Linked DNA regions of Caenorhabditis elegans. The protein of the gene in region 2 purifies or fractionates together with the protein of the main gene of each other region. This does not show direct contact. Each region holds a gene or a part of one and is shown on either strand. Other genes may lie near its edges.

Region 1 (4,320 bases), on a different chromosome or scaffold from region 2:
CAGGAGCGGCTTTCAACAATCTCGAATTTATTGAATGTGACGCCGGAAAAATGCCAGAAATCTGGACGGACTCCTTCGATTTGGTGCTTATTTTTGATGCATGCCACGATCAGCGGAGACCAGATTTGGTACTGAAAATCTTAAATTTTCTAAAAAGATATTTTATAATTTTCAGTGCGTCCAAGAAATCCACCGAGTTCTCAAGCCAAGCGGGATGTTCGCTATGGTAGAGGTGCTCGGCTCCAGTAACGTATACACCGATAAAGCCGCCATGGGCCCATTGGCTGCAATGATGTACGGGTGCTCCATGTTCCATTGTCTCCCTGTCGGAAGTAACTGCCCAGATGCTCTGTGTTATGGTGCAATGTGGGGGCAGAAACGTGCTACCGACCTGCTTAAAAAATGCGGATTCCCTGATGTGAAGGTTATTGATACCCCATATTTCCCTATTAATGTGATGTATTGTGCCCAGAAAAATTAGGGTACTATTGAAGCCTTTTAATATTTTAAGTCCGCACAAGACCTACTAAATTAATTTTGTTTAATTTTTGTTTGAAATAATTAAACTCTTTCATGGCTGGCTGGGGAATACAATTTATTTTAAATTTCCAAAAATTCTCAATCTTATGTCAGTTAAATACATTTAGAGACCCAAATATTTCTTCGCAATTCCCATCGCCTCATCGTCACTTGAAAAAGTCAATTGTGAAACTTCATTGAGCACATCCGAGTACAGCTCCGTGGTGCTGAAAATTTAAGTTTCGATTAAAAAAAACTACACTATAAACTCACAAGTATCTCTCTGCAAAGCTGTTCACAGTGGTCACAATCAATTTTCCCTTGTTCTCGGGGCGACTAGCCAGCTCCACGGCAGCGACGACGTTGGCTCCGGACGAGATTCCACCGAGAATTGCCTCCTCGTCGGCGAGTCGCCGCGCCATTTGCATCGCATCGTCAGACTTGATGCGCAAAATTTCCGTGAACAACGAGCGATCGACGTTTCCTGGCACAATGCCGGCACCGATTCCTAGAAGTTTATAATGATAAGAAATGAGTGATAACGAAATGTTAGCACTTTCAGACTCCCTCATATTATGAACTGGCAGAGTTTCAGCGAGATGGTTCTGAACCTCGACCGCAGCCGTGACTTTTAATCATTCTTACACGTAGTGCCAGGCTGTCTCATTACGGTTTGATCTACAAAAAATGCGGGAATTTTTTGCTCAAAAATATGTGACGTCAGCACGTTCTTAACCATACGACATTCAGTTGAGAACTCTGCGTCTCTTCTCCCGCATGTTTTGTAGATCTATGTAGATCATGCTAAACTGAGACACTCTAACACCACGTGCGACAGATGTTCACCATGGGACTATGAAAACCCGTGAATGTAAATCAAACCTTGAATTTTGTGTGGCCCTCTTGGCAGCCCACTCAAGACTGAACTCTCGTATGGCTCAACCGGGTAGATCTCAATATTCGGATTCTGCTCGCGGAGGTATCTTCCGACTCCTGTCACAGTTCCACTCGATCCTACACCAAAGCACACAATATCAACTTTTCCTTCGGTTTGCCTCCAAATTTCTGGCCCAGTGGTACGATAATGAGCGGCTGGATTGGCGGGATTCGAGAATTGATCAAGGCAATGAGCATTTGGAAGCTTATCGACAAGCATCTCCACTTTCTTAATAACTCCCGGATGTCCTTCAGCTGGATCGGACAGGATCACCTCGGCTCCGTAGGCTCGGAGCATGGCACGACGCTCAACGCTCATGGTGGCTGGCATCACGAGAATCACCTTGTATCTAAAAATATCTTATTAAAGTTTTAATTTTTTTTCCGCTGTAAAGTCAGTTGTCAAACCCTCGAATCTTTCCAATATGAGCCAAAGCGATGCCCAAATTTCCACTGGTTCCCTCAACGAGAACCGTTTTTCCGGGCACAATTGTTCCAGCTTTCTCGGCTTCGTCCACCATTGACTTGGCAATTCGATCCTTGACAGAGCACGATGGATTCAGATATTCCACTTTGACAGCTGAAATTTACAAATTTTCAGCGAAATTTCATAAAATATTGTTACCGATTCTGGCATCCAAGCCTTTGGAAATATTTCGGAGAAGCACCAATGGAGTATTTCCGATAGTGTCCCCACTATCCTGAACCATCAATTCACGAGACATTTTCTGAAAATACAAAAAATTGAAGTTTCAAACAGCAGAAATATGAAAAAAAGAGATTAGAAAATTTAAATTTTTATTTTTAAAAAGATGGTTTATTGACGAAGAAAAGTAAATACAAGACGTCAACTGACTCTGCCTCACAACAACATAGGAAGGGAGGAGATGCAAGCGGGAAGACTGTAGGTCACTATTCACCTGCAGGAAGCCCAAATAGATCAAAATATAGATAAAGACTTTTTGATCTCTGAATGTTACCTGACGCAGATTTATTTCTCAGCGAAAATTCCCGCTTTTATTTTAGATCAAACACTGATGGGACAGCATAACACTACAGCTTTATTCAAGTTAAAAAATTTTTTGTTGAAATGTTCACTTTTCAGAAATATTAGTTTTCGATTTCTAATAATTTCGACCGAAGTTTCAGACTTTTTGTGTCTAAAATATTGCAAGTAAAAATTACTTTAGGGGGGCGGAGCCTAGTAAACAAGGTAGATCAAAAATAAATTATGAGAAAAATGTGCGATTGTATTTTTTCGATAATATATCTATTTTGAAAGTAAGAATATTATATGAAAATATCCAAAGAAAACGGGAAAAATTCGAAAAGGCACAGTTTTAAATGTATCCGTCCTATAAAAAATCCATCTAAAAACTTCCGGCAAATTAATGTTCGACAACGGCATATCGGCAAATTGCTGGAAACTAAAAGTTCCGGCACATCGGCAATCCGGCAATTTAAACTAACTTTTCAATCAACTCTAGCAAGTTTAGAAATACTGTTCGTAAAAGTTTACAAAAGTTGGGCAAAATTGAAACTTGGCCGAAATTTGCCAAAAAGTCGGCTAAGAATTTGCGGAAACCACAAAATACGATGGAAGAAAAATCGAAAGACTGCAAGAATTCGGTGTAAAATGAAACCATTTATAACCCCACAATCATCACACTCCGCCTTGTCCATGTCGATTTATCATCGAAAATTTATGCGCCTACTTTCCGCTCGATTGCTCTATGTCTGAGTCTCCACTCCTTGCACATGTCTCTCGCGGTGAACGTGACTTTTCTGATTTTTGTACGCGTTAACTGATGGTCACCAAAAGTAAACATCCCTTTTTGGCAAGTGGTTCAGCGAAAAGTGCGAATTACAGGACATGTGCTTTTTTATTTTTTTAAAAGATGGATTTATTGGTTGACTTGAAATTTACAAATAAAAAAAGCGTATACCGTATTTCTTCTATTAATATGGCTGCAATACTATTTTTCGATGGTCTTCCCGCTTGCAATACTAATAGGGAGTGCAAGACTATTAGGGAGTGCAATACTAATGTTCAGAACATTTTCTGACTTTGAGCTTACTAGTTTTTTTCCAGAAAAAACTCGAATCTTATGTGAAAATTCAGAAAATTTGATTGTAATTGCAACAAAAAGGTACAATAACTTCAATTTCATAGAAATTTTACCAAAATTGTTGCAAAGTAGGCAAAAAATGTTGTTCAAATCTCAAAATTAGTAGGGTGGGTTTGTACCAAAAAAAAAGTAGATGCAAGACTATTAGGGAGTGCAACACTCATAGGGAGTGCAATACTAATTTTCGGAGGGTGTTCAAGGAGCAATACTAATAGGGAGTGCAAGTCTAATAGGGAGGCCATACTAATAGAAGAAATACGGTAAATACAAAAATTGTGCAGCTATTCATTTTATTCCCTGTAACGCCTGTCCAGCGCGTGTTGAATCGCCCAAATTGACAAAGGGCGCATGTAGCCCAAGGCTCTGTACATTCCGTCGGAGGTGATGGCTTCTGGAGTCTGATACTGAAGTGGAAAGCGGTGCCAAATGGATTCGAAGAGCCCTTCAGAAGTTTTGAATGCTTGCTCATCCATGCCCTGGAAAATTTGTTCGATTTGCGCGTAAAATGTGGTTTATTACGTTTCTGAGACTGCGTAATGCGCAACATATTTGACGCGCAAAATATCTCGTAGCGATAACTACAGTAATTCTTTAAATGATTACTGTAGCATGTCGATTTACGGGCGAGATTTTCAAAACGAATTAAAATAGTTTATTTATCGATAGGTCGTCACGTGGTGTCCCATTACGGTTTGATCTACAAAAAATGCGAGAATTTTTTGCCCAAACAAATGTG
Region 2 (5,308 bases):
TTCTAGCTGCAAATTTTAAATAATTTTTTGAATTTTTGACAGATCCGCTTCCCCCAAATCCTACTTTTCTCTGAATACTATCCAAGATCCGTGTGGCTTCCACAAGGAATTGCAGTTCATGAACCGGTCCGCGAATGTCCTGGAGGTACATTCGAAAGATCGCATAGAGACGGGCGTCGCGGAGAATTTCGGTGAGTTTCAGCTGGAGAAGTGAGTCGGGGAGATTGTCGGAGGCGCCGGATTCATCGGTAAGACCCTTTAAGAGGGGAATGGGAGTTGTCTGAAAATGAGAATTTCTTGGGTCTCGACAGGAAAACTAGTTTTGAGCTGCCGCCTATTAAACTCCAAAACTAGGAGCGTGATGATGTCGTAAATCGACAAACGACAACCAGCGTAAATCGACAAAAGACATCGTAAATCGACACACAACGTCGTAAATCTACACACAACAGCGTAAATCGACAAACGACAGCGCAAATAAATAAACGACGGCGTAAATCGACACAGCACGTTGTAAATCAACACTCCGTGTCGTAAATCGACAAAAGCCATCGTAAATCGACACACAACGTCGTGAATCGACAAACGACAGCCAGCGTCAATCGACAGACGCTATCGTAAATCGACAAACGACAAGCAGCGTAAATCGACATACAATGTCGTAAATCGGCAAACGACAGCGTAAATCGACAGGAGACATTGTTAGGAAACAGCGTAAATCGACAAACGACAGTATGCGTAAATCGACATACGACTGGGTAAATCGACAGAAGACATTGCTAGACAACAGCGTAAATCGACAGACGCTATCGTAAATTGACACACAACGTCGTAAATCGGCATACAACGTCGTAAATCGACAAACGACAGCCCGCGTAAATCGACACACAACGTCGTAAATCCACACACTACGTCGTAAATCGACCTGATTTTTTAGGGACCTAAAGCATCCTTACATCCACATGTTCCTCGATCATCTCCACTTTACGATGTTCATCAAACAACAGAATCAGCCAATAATTGATCGTATCCGGCTGCGTGAGCATATCAAAAACCGGCAGGAGCACCGCATTCGTCAGCATTTCCCTCAAAAAGCCCCGCACCGATTTCGACGGCCACGGCCGTTCATTCTTCCCCCGTCCAAAAAGTCGTAGAGGACTATCATCATCGTGAGCCCGCCCGGCGAGCCGAGTCTCGTCGAGAAGCCTCGGAATCAGAAAATCCGAAATCTGCCTGACATAGGCCGTCTCCTCATCACGGCCGCTCAACGCCACGTGGATGTCGTCTAGCTGCTCGGCGATCTTAGTTTCGAGCAGGGATCGGGGTGGTGTCGGAGACTCGCGAAGCTTCTGCTCGAGCTCATTGATACGGGTTATGTAGAATGAGGCTATGGGGAGAGCTTGATCGGAGACGAATTCGGCGAGATCGACGCGTCGGATGCACCGGATGAGGTTGGCCGATGCGTAGCGGAGTTGGTACCTGGAATTTGAATTCTTTTGTTGATTTTGGAGAACTACAAACTATAAACTACAAGCTAGAGGGTACGAATTAAAAACACGGTTTGATCTACGAAAAAATGCGAGAATTTTTGCCCAAAAAAATGTGACGTCAGCACGTTCTTAACTATGCAAAATCAGTTGAGAACTCTGCGTCTCGAGAAGATCTTCTCCCGCGTTTTTTGTAGATCTACGTAGATCAAGCCGAAATGAGACACTCTGACACCACGTGAAAAACTACAAACTATATGATTCACATACATCACTAAATTGTATTAGCGCACAAGTATACAATTTAGTAGCAGTGACTTCGGACTATAAACTACAAACTACAAGGTACGGACAACAAACTACAAGTTACAAGGTTTGGACTACAAACTACAAACTTCAAATCACATTTATAAATATTGCGTAACAGAAAATGTATATATTATTAAATACAATCACATCAATAAATGATACCAAGATCGACATACTACGCATACTACAAACTACAAACTGCAAACTACAAACTGCAAACTACAAACTACAAACTACAAACTACAAAATGCGAACTACATCCTCAACAAGGTCACAACTAAAATTGATTTACGCACGAGTATTAGAATAACACAACTACAAACTACGAATACTACAAACTACATACTACAAACTACGAATACTACAAACTACAAACTATAAACTACGAATACTACAAACTATAAACTGCAAAATTCGAACTAAGTTCTGAAGAAAACTAGATACTTGACAAGTTGACACGCACGAGCACAACTTTCATTTTGATAACAAAACTGCAAACTACGAATACTACAAACTAGAACATGCGAACTACGTTCTGAATAAAACTAGATCCCTAACAAGTTCACATCTAAAATTTATTTGTGCACCAGTACGACCATTTTTATGATAACACAACTACAAACTACGAATACTACAAATTATAAACTACAAACTACGAATACTACAAACTACAAAATGCGGACTACGTTCTGAACAAAACTAGATCCTTGATAAATTCAGAAAATACAATTTATTTGTGCACCCGTACGACCATTTTTATGATAACACAGCTACAAACTACGCATACTACAAACTACAAACTACAAACTACACCTACCGTATCTCGTTAATAAAAGCTCGATCCCTGCTAATCGCCCCTCCATACCACCCATTCACATATTGCTCGACAATCTCGTTCAGCAAATTTTCGACGGCCTCGTTCAGTGAAGCCGGTAGGCTGAGGCCCTGCCAAGGCATCCGTCGGGTCTTCTCCGAATCCAGCCTGGCATCATCATCGTCGTCGTCAGCTTCTTCGGCTTCTGGCTTCCTTGATGACGTGGTGGCAGACGGATTGAAGTAGTCCTTCCATTGGTATAGCATCTCTCCGTTCGAACACTCGAATACCCATTTTGCGAAGAGAATTCCGGCGAGCAGTGAGCCGATTACGACGAGAATCGATACGAATCTAAATATTGATTTTTTTGTGAAAAGTCTGTCGGTCGGTGGCCGAGAATTTCCTCTTCTCACCCAAAGTCGGCCGCGTAGAAGATCGCCGTGAGAAGAACCACGGCGGCGCCCACGTGGATCTTTTGTTGTTGTTGTTGTTTCGGATCGGACATGTTCATCATAATGAGTTGTGTTGTTGTTGCATCTGCAAAAAATTGGAAATTCAGAAATTTGAATTTTTCTCACTTCAAATGTGATTTATTCGAACTTTTTCCAATTTCTTAGAAATTTTTGAAATTTTTGAAATTTTGGCTGAATTATTTCGAACTTTTGTGAATTTTTTTTGAGTTTTTTTTTCTTCGAAAAACATGCCGAATAAAGGGAAAAACTGAAATTATCGAAAAAAAAGTCGCATTTTTTTTTTGAAATTTTGGCTGAATAATTTCGCTAAAAATTTAAATTTTTTTAGAAAATTTACAAAAAAAACTTCCTTTTTTTCGGAAAAAAAACTTCAAAAATCGGAATTTTTCACATCAGGTTTAGTGTTTTTTTTTTTCAAAAAAAAAGTTTTTTGACATTTAGAAAAAAGAGGGAGTTTTGGCAGAAAAAAAACCAAATTTTTTAATTTTTAAAATTAAAAAATAGTTTTTTGGCACTTTTTTTGAAATTGTACAAAAAAAAATTGGAAATTCAAAAATTGGAATTCATTTTCCAATTTGTTTTTGGATTTTTTTTTGTTGAAAATTTTCGATCTTTTTAATTGGTTAATTTTGTAGTTAGAGGCCTCAAAATTGATCTCCGAACCCTAAAAAATTGCCCTTTTTCAATTTTTAATGGTTTCAAAAATTTTCAGAAAAAAATATATTTTTTTTTACCCAAAAAAAAGGACAGCCTGAAAAATTGGGCAAAAATAAAAAGTTGTCTAAATTTGTTGAAAACGTGTAATTCATGAATGCTGAATTCAGAAAATCTAGGTTTAACCCATCAAAAATTATTAAAAAGTGGCAAAAATGACAATTTATGGCAAAAAATCACAGTTTTGAAACGGCTCTAAAATGGCCAATTTTATAGTTAGAGGACTCAACCCTCATCTCCAAACCCTTAAAAAATGCCGCTTTTTAATTTCTAATGGTTTCGAACATTTTCAGAAAAAATTTTTTTTCGAAAACTTAATTTAATTAAAAATTTTTTGGCACTTTTTTGAAAATATACAAATTTTTTTATAAATATATTTTTTAGTTCCGTAAAAAAATGTAGTTTTTAATCCTTTAAAAAATCGAAAAAAAAAATTTTTTTTTTGGAATTTAATATTCAAATTATTTTTTAAAAGCTTACATAGCGTCAAAATTTGGCAAAAAACTATTTAAAAAATTTTTTCTTCAAATTTTCGGAAATTTCATGTGGTGTCAGAGTGTCTCATTTTGGTTTGATCTACGTAGATCTCTACAAAAAATGCGGGAGTCGAGACGCAGAGTTCTCAACTGATTTCGTATGGTTAAGAGCGTGCTGACGTCACCTATTTTTGGGCAAAAAATTCCCGCATTTTTTTGTAGATCAAACCGTAATAGGACAGCCTAGCACCAAGTGAAATTAATTTTTTTTGTCTGAAAAATTGAAAAATCAAAAAAAAAAACTTTTTTTTCTGAAAAAAATAAATAGTAAATATATATGCGAAAATTTACAAAAATTTATAAAAAAAATTTTTTTTTTTTAGAATTTAATATTCAAATTATTTTTTTAAAGCTGACATAGCGTAAAAATTTGGCAAAATCTTTTTTTTTAATTTTTGCGAATTGTTTTGTCCTAAAAAAATTGTAAAATCCTAAAAAAAAACTTTTTTCTGAAAATAAATAGTATATGCGAAAATCTACGCATAAAATTGAAAAAATTCAAAATATTAACAAAAAAAAATTCAAAACAAGTGTATTGTGCGAGAAATCGAAATCAACAAAAAAAAGCAAAAAAAAAAACAATTCTAGCGGAACAAATATTAAAAAAAAAACCAAAAACAAAAAAAAAAGTGTATAAATTATTCTGGTTAATTTTGTAGTTAGACGACTCAAAATTGATCTACAAACACTAAAAAATTGCCCTTTTTCAATTTTTAATGATTTCGAACATAAAATCAGAAAAATTAATTTTGTCGAAATTTTTGAACTTTTTCAATATGTATAGAAATTTATTTTCGTAAAAAAAATGCCGAAAAAATTGGAAAAAAATTTTAATTGCAATTTTTTAAAAATGTTTTATAATATTACATTTTTTAGCAATTTTTTTGAAACTGCAAAAAAAAGTTTTTTTTTCGTAAAAAATGTAGCTTTTAAATATAAAAAATCGAAGAAAAAAAAATTTTTTTTTGGAATTTA

What was found.
Region 1: the proteins of snx-14 (region 2) and cysl-3 fractionate together in Caenorhabditis elegans (co-fractionation; one large-scale study listed by BioGRID). This does not show direct contact.

Annotation. Positions count from the first base shown.
Region 1 is NC_003283.11:3,773,954-3,778,273, forward strand, and holds cysl-3 (Cysteine synthase 3), read right to left. Parts: upstream 2,184-4,320; 5' UTR 2,181-2,183; coding exon 2,081-2,180; intron 2,036-2,080; coding exon 1,864-2,035; intron 1,806-1,863; coding exon 1,402-1,805; intron 1,028-1,401; coding exon 793-1,027; intron 747-792; coding exon 644-746; 3' UTR 583-643; downstream 1-582. Other genes in the region: rips-1 (Methyltransferase domain-containing protein), read left to right, coding at 1-128, 176-481; R08F11.1 (Non-lysosomal glucosylceramidase), read right to left, coding at 3,875-4,060. UniProt on the Caenorhabditis elegans protein: Primarily catalyzes the formation of cysteine and acetate from O-acetylserine and hydrogen sulfide.
Region 2 is NC_003280.10:13,528,072-13,533,379, forward strand, and holds the start of snx-14 (Sorting nexin-12), read right to left. Parts: upstream 3,148-5,308; 5' UTR 3,125-3,147; coding exon 3,024-3,124; intron 2,962-3,023; coding exon 2,614-2,961; intron 1,480-2,613; coding exon 957-1,479; intron 281-956; coding exon 65-280; intron 7-64; coding exon 1-6.